2 linked regions of the Stegostoma tigrinum genome follow. The protein of the gene in region 1 purifies or fractionates together with the protein of each later gene. This does not show direct contact. Links are inferred from orthologs where the notes say so. Each region holds a gene or a part of one and is shown on either strand. Other genes may lie near its edges.

Region 1 (7,295 bases):
CACCCCCTACCATATCCCTGTGATGCTGCATTTCCCTTGAATAATCCTCTAGCCTGCACATCCCTGGTTACGATGGCACAATTTAGCATGGCCAAACCAGCTAGCCTGCACATCTGTGGGACGAAACCCACACAAACACAGGGAGAATGTGCAAACTCCACACAGACAGTTGCCCAAGGGTTGAATCAAATCCTGGTCCTGGCATTGTAAGGCAGCAGTGCTAACCACTGAGCCGCTGTGCTGCTCAAGGGAAAGCACAGGGTTGGGGAACAGCAAAAGCATAGGGTAGCAGATCACACTGGTAGCTACTGTTTACTCTGGCCCATATCACCATGGATCGCCATGAATACATGTCTGTAAACCAAAAGGTCTGAGCAGTCATTAGATTGATTACCACAGTGTTCAGGTGGATGCTGAGAAAATGTTTCCATTTGCAGGAGAGACAATAAGTACAAGTCACAAATATATGATGTTCATTCATAAGTTCAATAGGTAAGTTATGAGGAACAATTTCCGCTAGGGAATGCTTAGGTATCACATGAGGTAGCTGAGGTGACTTACATCTACATGGAAGCTAGATAAAGGAAGAAAGAAGCAAGTGATGCTGGTGTTAGCTGAAGCGTTGGAGACTTTTGTGGGGCACAACCACTGCTGTGTACCGGTTGAGCTAAATGATCTGTTTCTGTGTAGTTAATATCTACCTGACAATATGGAAAATTGCCCAAGTATGTCCTGTACACAAAAAGCAGGACAAATCCAACCTGGCCAGTTACCGCCCCATCAGTCTCCTCTCAATCGTCAGTAAAGTGATGGAAGGTGTCATCAACGGTGCTATCAAGCAGCACCTGCTCAGAAATAACCTGCTCAGCAAAGCCCAGTTCAGGTTCCGCCAGGGCCACTCAGCTCCTGATCTCGTTACGACCTTGGTTCAAACATGGACAAAAGAGCTGAATTCCAGATGTGAGGTGAGAGTGACACTCCTTGATATCACAGCTCCATTTGACAAAGTGTGGCATCAAGGAGCCCTAGCAAAACTGGAATCAATGGGTATCTGGGGGCAAATGCTCCGGTGGTTGGAGTCATATCTGACACGTAGGAAGATGGCTGTGGTTGGGGGAGGTCAATTATCTCAACTCCAGAACATCTCTGCAGGAGTTCCTCAGGGTAATGTCCTAGGCCCAACCACCTTCAGCTGCTTCATCAATGACCTTCCCTCCATCATAAAGTCAGAATTGTGGATGTTCACCAACGATTGCAAATGTTCAGGACCATTTGTGACTCTGCAGGTACTAAAGCAGTCCATGTTCACATGCAACAGGGTCTGGACAAGATCCAGACTTGGATTGACAAGTGGCAAGTGACATTCATGCCACACAAATGCCAGGCTATGGCCATCACCAATAAGAGACAATCTAACCACCTCCTCTCGACATTCAATGGTGTTACCATCACTGAATCTCCCATGATCAACATCCTGGGGGTTACCACTGACCAGAAACTCAACTGGACTCACCACATTAACACAGTGGCTATAAAAGCAGGCCAAAAATTGGGAATACTGCAGCGAGTAACTCACCTCCTGACTCCTCAAAGCCTGTCCACCATCTACAAGGCAGAAGTCAGGAGTGTGATGGAATACTCCCCACTTGCCTGGATGAATGCAGCTCCAACAACACTCAAGAAGCTAGACACAATCTAGGACAAAGCAGTCCACTTGACTGGCGCTACATCCACAAGCATTCACTCCCTCCACCACCGACACTCAGTACGCACTGCTGCTTACTATCTACAAGATGCACCGCAGAAATTCACCAAAGATCCTCAGATTGCACCTTCCAAACTCATGACTACTTCTAGAAGGACAAGGGTAGCAGAAATATGGAAGCACCATCACTTCCAAGTTCCTCTCCAAGTCACTCACCATCCTCACTTGGAAATATATCGCCGTTCCTTCACTGTCGCTGGGTCAAATTCCTGGAATTCCCTCCTTAACACCATTGTGGCTCAACCCATTGCAGGAGGACTGCAGCAGTTCAAAAAGGCAGCTCACCACAACCTTCTCAAGGACGACTAGAGATGGATAAGAAATGCTGGCCGGCCAGCAACGCCCACATCCAACAGATTAATAAAAAGAAGAGTCAGAGAGTTATACAGCAGGGAAACAGATCCTTCAGTCCAAGTCATCCATGCCAACCAAATATCCTAAATTAATCTAAGATAACAAAGTGTGGGGCTGGATGAACACAGGAGGCCAAGCAGCATCTTAGGAGCACAAAAGCTGACGTTTCGGGCCTAGGCCCTTTCTGATGAAGGGTTTAGGCCCGAAACATTAGCTTTTGTGCTCCTAAGATGCTGCTTGGCCTGCTGTGTTCATCCAGCCCCACATTTTGTTATCTTGGATTCTCCAGCATCTGCAGTTCCCATTATCTCTGATCCTAAATTAACCTAGTTCTTTTTGCCAGCATTTGGCCTATATCCCTCTAAACCCTTTCTATTCATACGCCCAAAGATGGCTTTTAAATGTCATAACTGTACCCACCTCCACCATTCCCTCTGGCAACTTATTCCATACACACACTACACTCTGTGTGAAAACTTCTCCTCAGATCCCATTTAAATCTTTCCCCTCGTGCCTTAAACATGTGGCTTCTAGTTTTAGATTTCCCTACCCTGGGAAAAAGACCTTGGCTGTTCACACTATCCACTCCCCCATAAGGTCAACCCTCTGCCTCTAACATGCCAGGGAAAATAGCCCCAGCCTATTCAGCCATTCCCTTTAGCTCAAACCCACCAACCCGGGCAACATCCTTGTAAATCTTTTTCCAAAATCTTTCAGGTTTAACAGCATCTTTCATATAGCAGGGAGACCAGAATTAAATGCAGTTCAATACAGTAAATGATTAAATACTGTGAGATTTGGTGAGATTTCACTGACCTGATTATAACTGCCTTTTCTAAACCATGGCACTGTTTGTTACCAGACAGCCTTTTGCTGACCTCCCAAGTTCATCTTCTGGTGGTGAGGAGATAAAAGCCATGGAGATGGTCACATTGCTGAGATCTCCCAGTTCATAGAGCAAATAGGGTCCAGTTATAGGACCAACATCGCACCACAGAGTATCTTATTGTCTGCAACAGTATTCTGCATTCATTCTGACATACAAGCCCACACTGTAAGACAGGGAATGGCAGATAGTGATCTCTTGCTCACCACTCACAGCTGCCAGCCAAGTGCTTGTGAAATTCCTCTCAGAGGGAGAATGCCAAGGAGATGGAGTCAAACCTGCTCCGTCTTCCTTAGCAACCAGGTTTGTCCTTAACAATAAGCATCATTATCTAGTCCCAGTCTCCCATTCTTCCACTCCCCCACCCCCAACCCTTGTAATGTCTTGGCAGTACCATTCTCATGGACGGGGGGGGGGGGGGGGGGGAGTGAAGGAGTAGAGCAACCTCGGCATACGTGTAGACAGATCATTGAAGATGACAGGTCAGGTAGGGAGAGAGCAATAAGTAACGAATACAGTATCTTCAGCTTATTAGGCCTACCCTGTTCTGGGTGCCATGTAAGAAAGATGTGACTGCATTGGAGACTGTGTAGAAGCAGTTTACAAGTTCCAGGTTTGAAGAACATGAGTTATGAGGATAGATTGAAAAAGATGGTTCTGTTCCCCTTGGAGGGAGGTCTAAGAGGAGGTCCGGTAAATATTTTCAAACTCAAGGGCAGGCTGGATAGAGTAGACAGGGAGACAGCCAAGAAGTAAGGGTGAGGTGAGGTAAAATATTTTCATCCTACAAGTAGTTGGGGTGTGGAACACTGCCCTGAAGTGTGGTGAGGGCAAGTTCAAGATGGGCAATTTAAGAAGCAATTGAGTGCCTCGTTTAGATAGAAACAATCCACATGGATGGAGGGAACGCAGGGGTTTGGCACTAGATAATGATGTTCATGTAATGAGCTAGCGCACGAATACGGGTCAAATTGCCGCCTGGGCAGTAACAATTAAACACTTCTGGCAACCAAACCCTGCCCTTGATCTCCCTTAGCAACTAGGCCCCAACCCAATCTCGAACAAAGGCACAAGCCACTGGAAAAGCTCAACGGGTCCGGCAGCATCTCTTAAGAAAAATAATCAGAGTTAACATTTCAGTCCGGTGACCCTTCCTCAGAACTGTTCTCCCTTAGGATCCAGGCCTCGCCCCTGACCTCCCTTAGCAACCAGGCCCCGCCCGTGACCTCCCTTAGCAACCAGGCCCCGCCCTTAACATTCCTTAGCAACCAGGCCCCGCCCCTGACCTCCCTGAGGAACTCGCGGCCGCCGCTTTACTCTTCACCCCGGAAGTAGTTGTGGGCGTTTGTGACCTTCTGTTGGAGTCGCGGAAGGGTCGCTGGTGCCGTCAGTCAAATTCAAATGTGAAAAAGGGGAAAGCCTTGACGAGGAGAGAAGGAGAGGGGGGGTTTCAAGGGAAGACAGCCATTCCGCCAGGCGAGGAGCCCTTGGCCGCCGTGTTGGTGGCAGAGAGTTTGGGGCGGATTAAAGATGTTCGCTAAACGGAAAGCGGTGCTGCCCACTCTCACCATCACAACCACTGTCGGTGAAGGACCGTCCCCAACCAGGGAGGATAACGCCGAGTGAGTAACGGCCCGGCCTGGGCCTGGTTGTGTCAAGCTGCCTCTTGCAGCCTCTTTTAGGGATTTCCCAAGGCCTTGCCTCCAATAAAATTCGTTCTCCGGAATGCATTTTGTTTTTAAGTAATTCTTTGTTTCTCCTGTCCGCTCCCAATTCCCTAATCTGCCTCGGGGTATCACAGATAACCTGGTTTAAAATCGTTTGGCGCGAGATTGGGCATTTCCCCCCCTCCAAGCGATAATGGGTTTAAATTGATTGGTGGGGTTTTCGGAATAAGGGCAAGGATGTCATCTCAACCGGGGAAAAAATAACAATATAACGTCTGCGTATTTTCGTTCTAAACACTGTAACGGCACTGAATACCAAGAAACTTAATGGTATAGTTGCCTGAAAAACACTGCGTTACAATATTGATAAAATAGATCTGGAAATATTATTCTGCAGGTTGGATTAACTGAAATAGTTTTTCGCTCTTTATGTCTGTATATTGAGCTGCAGCGGCCTGGAAAATCCTACATTCGAGCCTTGACCTGTGTTTAATAGGCTGATCTGAAAATATCGCTAAAAAGGTGCTGCAAGAATCTTTTATGCGCCAGTGTGAGGAAAGCAAAAAGAACTAAGTTGCCAGTTGTCAACTGTTTGCATTAACTCCTATTTAGATGTGCAGAGGCTGAGTGAGGCGTGATGCCCCAGTGACTGAATAGTCCGCCGACGGCCGTATGGAGTCTGACATGAAAAGTTGCAGCTTTGGTTAGCAGCTGATCATTTAGTTCATTCAGGAAGAAAGCATTTCTAGTTATATTTGTTTCCATTTTAGTTTGGGACAGTGACAGCAGCACATTTACTTCTCGATAGAAGATTCTAGGTTTGAGTCCTATTCAGTGTATTGTGTATATCTGTGTCTTTCTATCCAAGCAACTGAGCAGTCACTTCCACTGGTCATTGCTGGATTTTGAATTGACCACCTGAGATGTGTGTAAGTAAAAAAATCCCCTGGGAAGCTGAGGTCTTTGAAACACTGAATGCCGATGGCTTTGGGCCAGAAGGTTGGGGTTCAAGCTCAACTCTGGAGGTTTGTGATAACATTTGAACAGACTGATTAAAATCACTTTTCAAAAATCATTGAAGTTGATCTGGTTTACTTTTTGGAGTTTTCTTACAGCAAAGGAATTTTTGTTTATACTTGTTAGGTCTCTGCTGCATATGAATATGTTGAAATTGTCCTTTTATATTTTTTGCTAATTCTTGTCATCCTCTGAGACATTTCCCAAGTGTTTTTTTAATCAGACTTTCAAAACTTTGAAGAAATACTTGTTGCAACATTCACACTTCTCCAGTTAAATTGCTCCTCATTGTATCTCTTCACTTGCGGTCTCTTCACATGACCAAGTAATAAAACTTTAAAATTGGGAAACTGCAATAGCAAAATATGGTCAATCAATGTTCTAATTTGGTGCATCCTTTGCAGTTTTTTTTGCTTAGTTGGTGACAGTTAATTGCATACACAATTTCATGAATAAAATTTGTTTCAACTTCTGCACATACTTTAATATCTGGACTAAGGCACAAGATTGGAACAACATGTTTCAGTTTCATCCAAAAGTATGTTAAGTCTTTCTAAGTACACCCAGTGACAATTTAGCAGTGCTTTTCCCCAGAATCTTCCAGAGTATCTTGCATTTACTTCCTGATAGTAATCTCTTCATCTTAGATGTTTATTTTGCACTCTTCTCAAATTTTATTATACTGATAATCTGATCTGCTGGTGTTGTATCTTGCCATCAAGTTTTGTTACCGATGGTCTGCTTGTTAACGTTTTCTGTAATTTTTTTATAATGCAGCCTCTAGTTTCTAATTTTACTTGAGATCTTTGGATGTAGTTGAACTGTAGAGCAATTTTAGGAGTAATCCTCTGTACACTCAAATGAGTAGTGAACCTGTGGAATTTGCTAACACAAAAACCATTCAAGGCAAAACATGGTTTGATTTCAAGAAGCAATTGAATATAGCACTTGGGGCTAAGAGATACGAGGGAAAAGCAGGAATGAGATTTGAGTTGGATGATCAGCCATGATCATAGTGGTTTTACGTTCAATTCAAAGATTAGCATTCCACTAGCCGCCTTGATGATGCACTATGTTTGCATTCTGACTATTTGTTACTTGAGCCACAAACACACCTAATTCCTCTACAGCTTGGAATTCTGCAGTTGTCCCTGTTTTATTATACTCTGCTCTTTCATTCTTCCTGCCGTAGTGACCAACCTTACATTTTTCCATGTTATATTCCATCTACCAGATTTTTGACCAAAACTTAGCAAAACTGTATCCTTCTGCAAACTCTTTAAATCATCATCACAACATACTTTCTCATCACCTATCACTGTGGGCGGCATGGTAGCTCAGTGGTTAGCACTGCAGCCTCACAGCTCCAGGGACCCAGGTTCAATTCCAGCCTCAGGCGACTGTCTGTGTGGAATTTGCGCATTCTCCCCGTATCAGTGTGGGTTTCCTCCGGGTGCTTCAGTTTCCTCCCACAGTCCAAAGATGTGCAGGCTAGGTGGATTGGCCATGCTAAATTGCCCATAGTGTTCAGGGGTGTGTGGCTTATAGGTGAATGGGTCTGGGTGGGATGCTTCAAGGGGCGATTTGGACTTGTTGGGCCAAATGG
Region 2 (7,642 bases), on another chromosome or scaffold:
CAGATTATGGAATACTATGAAAACAATAGGATTGTTGTGTTGGATGATTTTAAGTTCTCCTATACTGACTGGGTCTTGCTGAAAAGCAGGAGCTTGGATGGGGGAGAATTTGTTAGGTGTGTCCAAGATACTTTTTTGAAACTATATGTAAAAGTCCAACTGGGGAGGGGCCATACTGGACTAGGTATTGGGGAATAAGCCTAGGCAGGTTATTAAAGTTTCAATGGGGTGGAGGTGGGGCATTTTGGGAACAGTAACCATAATTCTGTTAATTTTAAGTTATTTAAGGATAAGGACAAGGGTATTCTTTGGTGAATATACTAAGCTGGGGGATAGCTACCTACCACGACATTAGGGAGGAACTGGGAAATGTAGACTGGGGGCAACTGTTTGAGGGTAAAAAACATCTGGCATTTGGGAATCTTTTAAAGGCCAATTGATTAGAGGTCAGGAACAGCATGTTCCTGTGAAAGCGAATTGCAAGATTTGGGAACCTTGGATGACAAGAGAAATTGAGAGCTTAGTGACAAAGGAGACATATGTAATGTTTCGGAAACTGAAGGCAGACAGACCTCTCCAAAAATACAAAGACAGCAGGAAATAGCTTAAATAAGGACGGCTAAAAGGGGCCATGATATGACTTTGGCAAACATGATTAAGGAAAATCAAAGAGATAATGGGAACTGCAGATGCTGGAGAATCCAAGATAACAAAGTGTGGAGCTGGATGAACACAGCCGGCCAATTAGCATCTTAGGAGCACAAAAGCTGATGTTTCGGACCTAGACCCTTCATCAGAAAAGGGGGATGGGGAGAGGGTTCTGAAATAAATAGACAGAGAGGGGGAGGCGGATCGAAGATGGTTAGAGGAGAAGATAGGTGGAGAGGAGACAGACAAGCCAAAGGGGCAGGGATAGAGCCAGTAAAGGTGAGTGTGGGTGGGGAGGTAGGGAGGGGATAGGTCAATCTGGGGAGGACAGACAGGTCAAGGGGGCGGGATGAGGAGAGAATGAAGGAAATAGAGGTGCAGCTTGAGGTGGGAGGAGGGAATAGGTGAGAGGAAGAACAGGTTAGGGAGGCAGCGATGAGCTGGGCTGGTTTTGGGATGCAGTGGGGGAAGGGGAGATTTTGAAGCTTGTGAAATCCACATTGATACCATTGGGTTGCAGGGTTCCCAAGAGGAATATGAGCTGCTGTTCCTGCAACCTACAGGTGGCATCGTTGTGGCAGTGCAGGAGGCCCAGGATGGATATGTCATCCAAGGAATGGGAGGGGGAATTGAAATGGTTCACGACTGGGAGGTGCAGTTGTTTATTGCAAACCTAGCGTAGGTGTTCTGCAAAGTGGACCCCAAGCCTCCGCTTGGTTTCCCCAATGTAGATGTAGCCACAACGGGTACCGCGGATGCAGTGACCCACATTGGCAGATGTGCAGTTGAACATCTGCTTGATGTGGAAAGTCTTCTTGGGGCCTGGGATGGGGGTGAGGGAGGTGGTGTGGGGGCAGGTGTAGCACTTCCTGTGGTTGCAGGGGAAAATGACAGGTGTGTTGGGGTTGGAGGGGAGTGTGGAGCAGACAAGGGAGTCTTGGAGAGAGTGATCCCTCCGGAAAGCAGACAAGGGTGGGGATGGAAAAATGTTTTTGGTGGTGGGGTTGGATTGTAGATGGTGGAAGTGTCGGAGGATGATGCGTTGTATCCAGAGGTTGGTGGGGTGGTATGTGAGGATGAGGGAGATTCTCCTTTGGCGGTTATTGTGGGGATGGGGTGTGAGGGATGAGTTGCGGGAAATGCGGGAGACAAAGTCGAGGGCGTTCTCGATCACTGCGGGGGGGATGTTGTGGTTTTTGAAGTACATATATAAAAGTTAGGAGGTTAGCTAGGGAAAGGGAAGGTCCACTCAAGGACAAAGGAGAGAATTTAAGCAAGGAGCCAGAGGAAGAGGGTGAGTTCCTTCAAGAATATTTTGCAATGTATTCACAAAGTACAAGGATATGGTGAGTGGTGAGTCTTTGGAGAGATATGTTGATAAACTAGGACAAGTTTATATAAATAAGCAAGAGGTGTTGGGTCTTTCAAAAAGCGTTAAGGTAGACAAGTCCCCAGAACCGGAAGGGATCTACCTAAGGATGCTGAGGGAGACAAATGAGGAAATTGCTGAGGTCTTGAAATCTTTGTATCCTCTTTAGTCACAGGAGAGGTCCCAGAGGACTGGAGAATAGCCAACTTTGTTCTTATATTTAAGAAGCATTTACTCAGATTTGAAAAAAATTGGCCTTATTCAATGATTGGTGAGGGCAGGATGATTCATGTTGTCCATGTGGACTTAGCAAGCTCTTTGACGAGCTCTCTAATAGCAGACAGGTAGAAGAGGTGAAGTTTTATGGGATCCTAGTGAGTTGGTAAGATTAATACAGAACTGGCTTAGCCTTAGAAGACAGAGAGTAGTGTGGAAGGCTTCTGACTGGAGATCTGTGACTAGTGATGTTCTGCAAGGATCAGTGCTGGGACCCCTGTTGTTTGTAACATATGTAAATGATTTGTAGAAGAATGTAGGTGGCTTGATTAGTAAGTTTATGGGTGACACAAAGATTGGGGGAGCATTGGATAGTGAGGAGGATTGCCAGAGATCATATCAGGATATAGATAGGCAGGAGACGTGGGTGCAGAAATGGCAGGTCAAGTTTAATCTTGAGGAATGGAAGGTGATACGTTTTGGAAGATCTAAAGCAGGATGGAGGTATACAGTAAACGGCAGAGCCCTTAGTAGCATCAACATACAGTGGGATCTAGCTATACGGGTTCACAGTTCCCTGAAAGTGGCAAAACAAGCGGGCAACATGGTAAGAAGGTGTATGGCATGCTTTCCTTCATCAGTCAGGGCATAGAGTATGAAAATTGTTGCAGCTGTATAGAACTTGTTTAGGCCATCTTTGGAATTTTCACACTATTCTTATTGCCACACGATATGGAAGATGTGAAGGCTTGGAGGGGCAACAGAGACAGTTTACCAGGATGTTGCATTATTTGGAGGGTATTAGCTATGAGGAGAGATTGGACAAACTTGGTTTGATTTTACTTGAACATCAAAGGATGTGGGGTGACCTGATGGAAGCTTACAAAATTCCAAGAGGCATAGATAGAATGTGTAGTCGGATTTTTTTTTCCCAGACTAGAAATGTCAATTACCACAGGTCTTGACTTAAGGTAAAAGAAGGTAAAATTTAAAGAAGATGTGGGAAGCATGTTTTTTTACACAGAGGGTGATAAGTGCCTGGAATGCTCTGCCAGAGGAGGTGGTGGAGGCAGATACAATAGCAACATTTAAGAAGCATCTTGCCACATATATGAATAGGCAAGGAATAGAGGAATGTGGACTGCATTGAGGCAAAAGGTTTTTAATTTAGAAAGGCATTAAGTGTTGGTGCAGTCTTGGTGGGTGAAGGGCTTGTTCTTGTGCTGTACTGTTCTTTGTTCTTTATTCATTTTCCTTTCCATCACCTTCTCTCTTTCCCAATGTCCCCAGCCACTGTCCTCAGGAAAGGCACCAGAATTGGGTAGTGGAGTTGGTAGATAAACACGGAGGCTGCCAACACCATCTTTTTATCATCTTGCCTTTGTTCTGTCCTGATTTGGGATAGGGAAATTCAGACCCTTGTCAACATTTAAAACCAGGTTAGATAGCAGATTGAAGGAAAAAGAATATAAAACATGGAAATAGAACGATTGTTCACATGGAAAATGAACATTAACATGGACTGGTTGACTTGCCAATTTGGCACTTTTGTGTTGTGAATTGATATGTCAATAAAGAGCCTGATATATTTCCAGGAATATCACAATCCTGAAAGTCATGCATCATAATTGAATTGTTAACATTTTGAACATCTAAGGTCAGCGCTATGCTCGTATAATAATTGGAATTGGCCACTGAAATTATTCAGGTGTTGCAGCATAAGTAATAAGTAATCTATTATGTTTTATTCTTGCAGGATATTTCACTTTGAGATTTTGAGTGGTTGACAGGTGCTGTGGAGACTTGTGATCATATGTCTGACAGACGAAAATCTTGTTCGTGAAGGTTTGTGGTTTACTTTTCAAATACAGGGAGAACTTCTGTTAGACTTGTGATTATTTACGGGTACCGCAGCATTGTTTAGCAATTGCCACACTATGAATGTCAAGAACATTTTTGAAAAGGGTGTCCAACTAGATCAACAAGTCTTGGGATTCAGGAAAGCAAGGGGACACCAGTGATAGCAAGGAAATCTGCGAGTACGGGAACGAGTCGCGATCAGTTAACTTGGATTAGAAAAGCTGTATGCAGCATGTTTATGCCGTTTATTGAGCTTTAAGGAGAGTCTGTTATGGGGTTTGTGGGGAGGATGAGGGAGGCATGGCGCCTGGCGGGAATTGTAGTTGGATTTCTTCAGCCTCGGGGCGTGACTACAAATCCCAGAAGGCAGAGCGAGAGGTGCTGCACCCCGGGAATTGTAGTCGGTTTCCTCCCTGTCTTGTGGGCTCTGCCGTGGAAATTGACAACAAATCCCAGAAGGCAGAGCGCGTAGTCCCATAGCAACCGCTCACGGCCCCCTCCCCCCACACCGCCGAAGGGGAAGAGGAGAAGAAAATAAACGAAGCTGATCCATAGTATTAAGCGGCGTCTGGAGCTTCAGATGGGCTGCTGTCACACAGGAGAGGGACACTTACTAACTTGACAGCTGCATTTTTACTTTTGCACGTGTTTAGTTCAGCTTAATCATTTCAATAGATCTATATTTTCTGCAGTTTTCATGTTTTCTGTGTGAGGAAAACTTTTTTTTGTGTGGTGGCGGTTGTACTGAAATTAGGGTTCGGGAAGGGGGGAAAGGGGGGAAGACAAATATAACCAGGCCGAATGTTTAGGAATGGCTGAAGAGAACAGCAAGGGTCACAGCAATAAGATAAAGAAAGCTACGGTTGCTGAGGAAGAGGGGAGTGAGGAAGAGGAGGAGGACGAGGAGGAGGACGAAGGGGAGCTGAGTTTGGAGAAGGCCCTACAGCAGTGCGACCTGAACCAGGACATGATCGACATCAGCATCTCCAGCCTGGAGGGGCTCAGGACCAAATGTTCCGCTTCCAACGACTTGACACAACAGGAGATTCGGATGCTGGAGGTAAAACTGCATCCCTTGTGCTCTTTTTTTTGGTGGGGTGGGGACGAACATCCCGCCTTTGGAAAGAAATATAAACAAACGAGGAGAAGTCTGATGCACATGCAAACTGGGGCAAGTGAGAACAGAGGGTGGAAAACTGTCAGACACCCTCCACCCCCGTGCAGGGGCTGCAGATGGGGGAAAGATGAAGCTTCTGAGACTCAGACTTTTAGATTTAAAGCAGTACCGTCTGTTTTTCTAATGAATTCAGAAAATGGGTGCTTATGAAGGATTTACTTATTAGTCGTAATCCAGATATTTTGCACCTGCATGTATTATGCAGAGTCCTAGAGCACAGAACTGTGTACAACCATGACTGGAGCACACTGTCTGCATTGTTGATTAGGTGTGTAGAGTCATAGAGTTGTACAGCACGGAAACAGACCTTTCGGTCCAACTCGTTTATACCGAACAGAGCTTCCAAACGGACCTAACCCCGTTTGCCAGCATTTGACCCATATCCCTCCAGACCTTCCATACCGGTCTTTTATCTGACCTCCGAGATAGTAAGAATTGCCGATGCTGGAGTCTGAGATAAAAAGGTGTGGAGCTGGAGGAACACAACAGGCCAAGCAGCATCAGAGGTGCGGGAAAGCTGACGTTTCGGGTCCAGACGTTTCCTGCTCCTCTGAAGCTGCATGGCTGCTGTGTTCCTCCAGTTCCACACCTTGTTATCATTTTTATCTGACCTCGACCAGTTGCTGCTATTGAGAATGAAATCAAATGCGTTGCAATAATATCCGTTAAGATAAAAATTGTCCCAAGGTTGTTGAATTAAAATCCTCGCCCTTTATATCCGGACTTTGAATTTTTTTCCCGTTTGGCAAATTGCAGCAATTATTTTTGATTGTGAGCGGTTAACCAAGTCGTGTATAATTTTGTATTGTCGTGATGCTTTCTGTGCGTGGAAAACTACACAAAACTTGTCTGGTGGCAGGAGGTCTTAATTTTAAAATGTTACGTGTGTTAATTTGGAGTTTACTCACGGTTAGCCGTTTAATTGTGTTATTCACAGTCTTGGTTGGATGTTTTCAACTGAGACCAACAGCTGACGTTAACCCTTAATCCCCAAAACAACACATGTAGGTGAGCAGAGAGATCTTTTAGCAGCTTTCACTGCACAACTGACTTTACTTGTGCCTGGGTCGTGAGGATTCACAGATACTCCACCGAGATTGTCTGTCTAACTGTGTGGATCTATATATGTCAATGTGTCGCCTTGTAACAATCGTGTCAGCAGTTTGGTTTTGATGAGTGTTCCCGGTAAGCCGCTGTTATAACTCGCTTTGGAAATGTTTAAACCTGTCCAAATAGTAGTGTGCCTTTGGGTCTTTTTTTTTAACAAAAAAAAGGCGGCAGGACTCTAAGTTTCAGCAGACATGCTAGGAATATAATGGTGAATTTTCTGCCAGGCGTTCGGAAGGCTGTTAAATTTTATGTTTTCGAAGATTGGGTGCCGGCCCCTAGGCCCATGTTGATCAGACGCTGACTACAGTGCAAGGATGAGATCAGCATAACCTACTTCTCCCGAAATGTACCGTCGCAACACTGCAGCACTCGGGTGCCAGTTGTAAGCAGTTGTATTTTCAATGAAGATCAGGTTTTTTTGGCGGGGTGGCAGCAAGGAAGAAAGACGGGCCATGTTCCGAGGTTCTCGGGAATTTTCTTTAGGGTGTTCAAGGATTTTTTTGATGTTGTAATCTAACGTGTTTTCCAGTTGACTACTGACCAAGATCTCACACCAGTGTTAGCCATTTCTCTGGATAATAGATGTTCTCTGGCGGACATGCTTTGTTTTGTGGGTACTGGGTGGCAGCAGTATGAAAACCCTTTCTGCATTATTGGGGAATGAAGTAATAACTAGTCTCCACAGTTGTGTGTTGCGGCTGTTTCTAAAAATAGAGCAGAACAACTCCCCCTCGTTCTAGTTACAACGTGATAAGTATATGCCACAACCTCGAAAAGACTCTCCTTTGCCATTGACGTGATCCGAAAAGCAGTTGAAATGTAGTAATTCAGTTCCAAATGGTTTTTTAAAAATATAAATATATTTGATCTAGTTCTTCACGAAAGTACTTCTGGTCATGCCTCGGTGATAGAGGAATGTCGGTGACGTGCTGGGAATGGTTGCAACGTTGGGTGGGGGGCGGCCGGCCAAGGCATTAGATTACATTGCCTGTGTTTAGTTGAGAAGGATTGTGATGCCTTGCCTACTGTATTACATTTATCTAACTTTTTAGTATAAGTTTGGCCTGCATTGTATGGAATTTGCCTACTAAATGCTGTATTGAGCAGAGAATGTAATTGGATGGGCTCCTTGAGTTTTGTATATTCTCATAACCAATCCTCAGATTTTCTTTGTTTTTCAATATGCATATTTGATCATTTGTGCAAGCCTTGTATAACAGATTTCACATATTTTGGAAGGAATTGTAGCGGGTGTACTTTAA

Evidence for each region. Proteins that work in one complex are often made in the same cells at the same time.
Region 2: the proteins of map2k2a (region 1) and kinase suppressor of Ras 1-like purify together in Homo sapiens (affinity purification with mass spectrometry; 4 studies listed by BioGRID and IntAct, with this or other methods). This does not show direct contact. The link is inferred for Stegostoma tigrinum from reciprocal best matches to the Homo sapiens genes MAP2K2 and KSR1.

Annotation. Positions count from the first base shown.
Region 1 is NC_081383.1:37,564,995-37,572,289, reverse strand, and holds the start of map2k2a (dual specificity mitogen-activated protein kinase kinase 2a), read left to right. Parts: upstream 1-4,294; 5' UTR 4,295-4,535; coding exon 4,536-4,627; intron 4,628-7,295. UniProt on the Homo sapiens protein: Catalyzes the concomitant phosphorylation of a threonine and a tyrosine residue in a Thr-Glu-Tyr sequence located in MAP kinases. Activates the ERK1 and ERK2 MAP kinases.
Region 2 is NC_081380.1:37,782,888-37,790,529, reverse strand, and holds the start of kinase suppressor of Ras 1-like, read left to right. Parts: upstream 1-4,622; 5' UTR 4,623-4,904; coding exon 4,905-5,153; intron 5,154-6,158; exon of another isoform or gene 6,159-6,455; intron 6,456-7,642.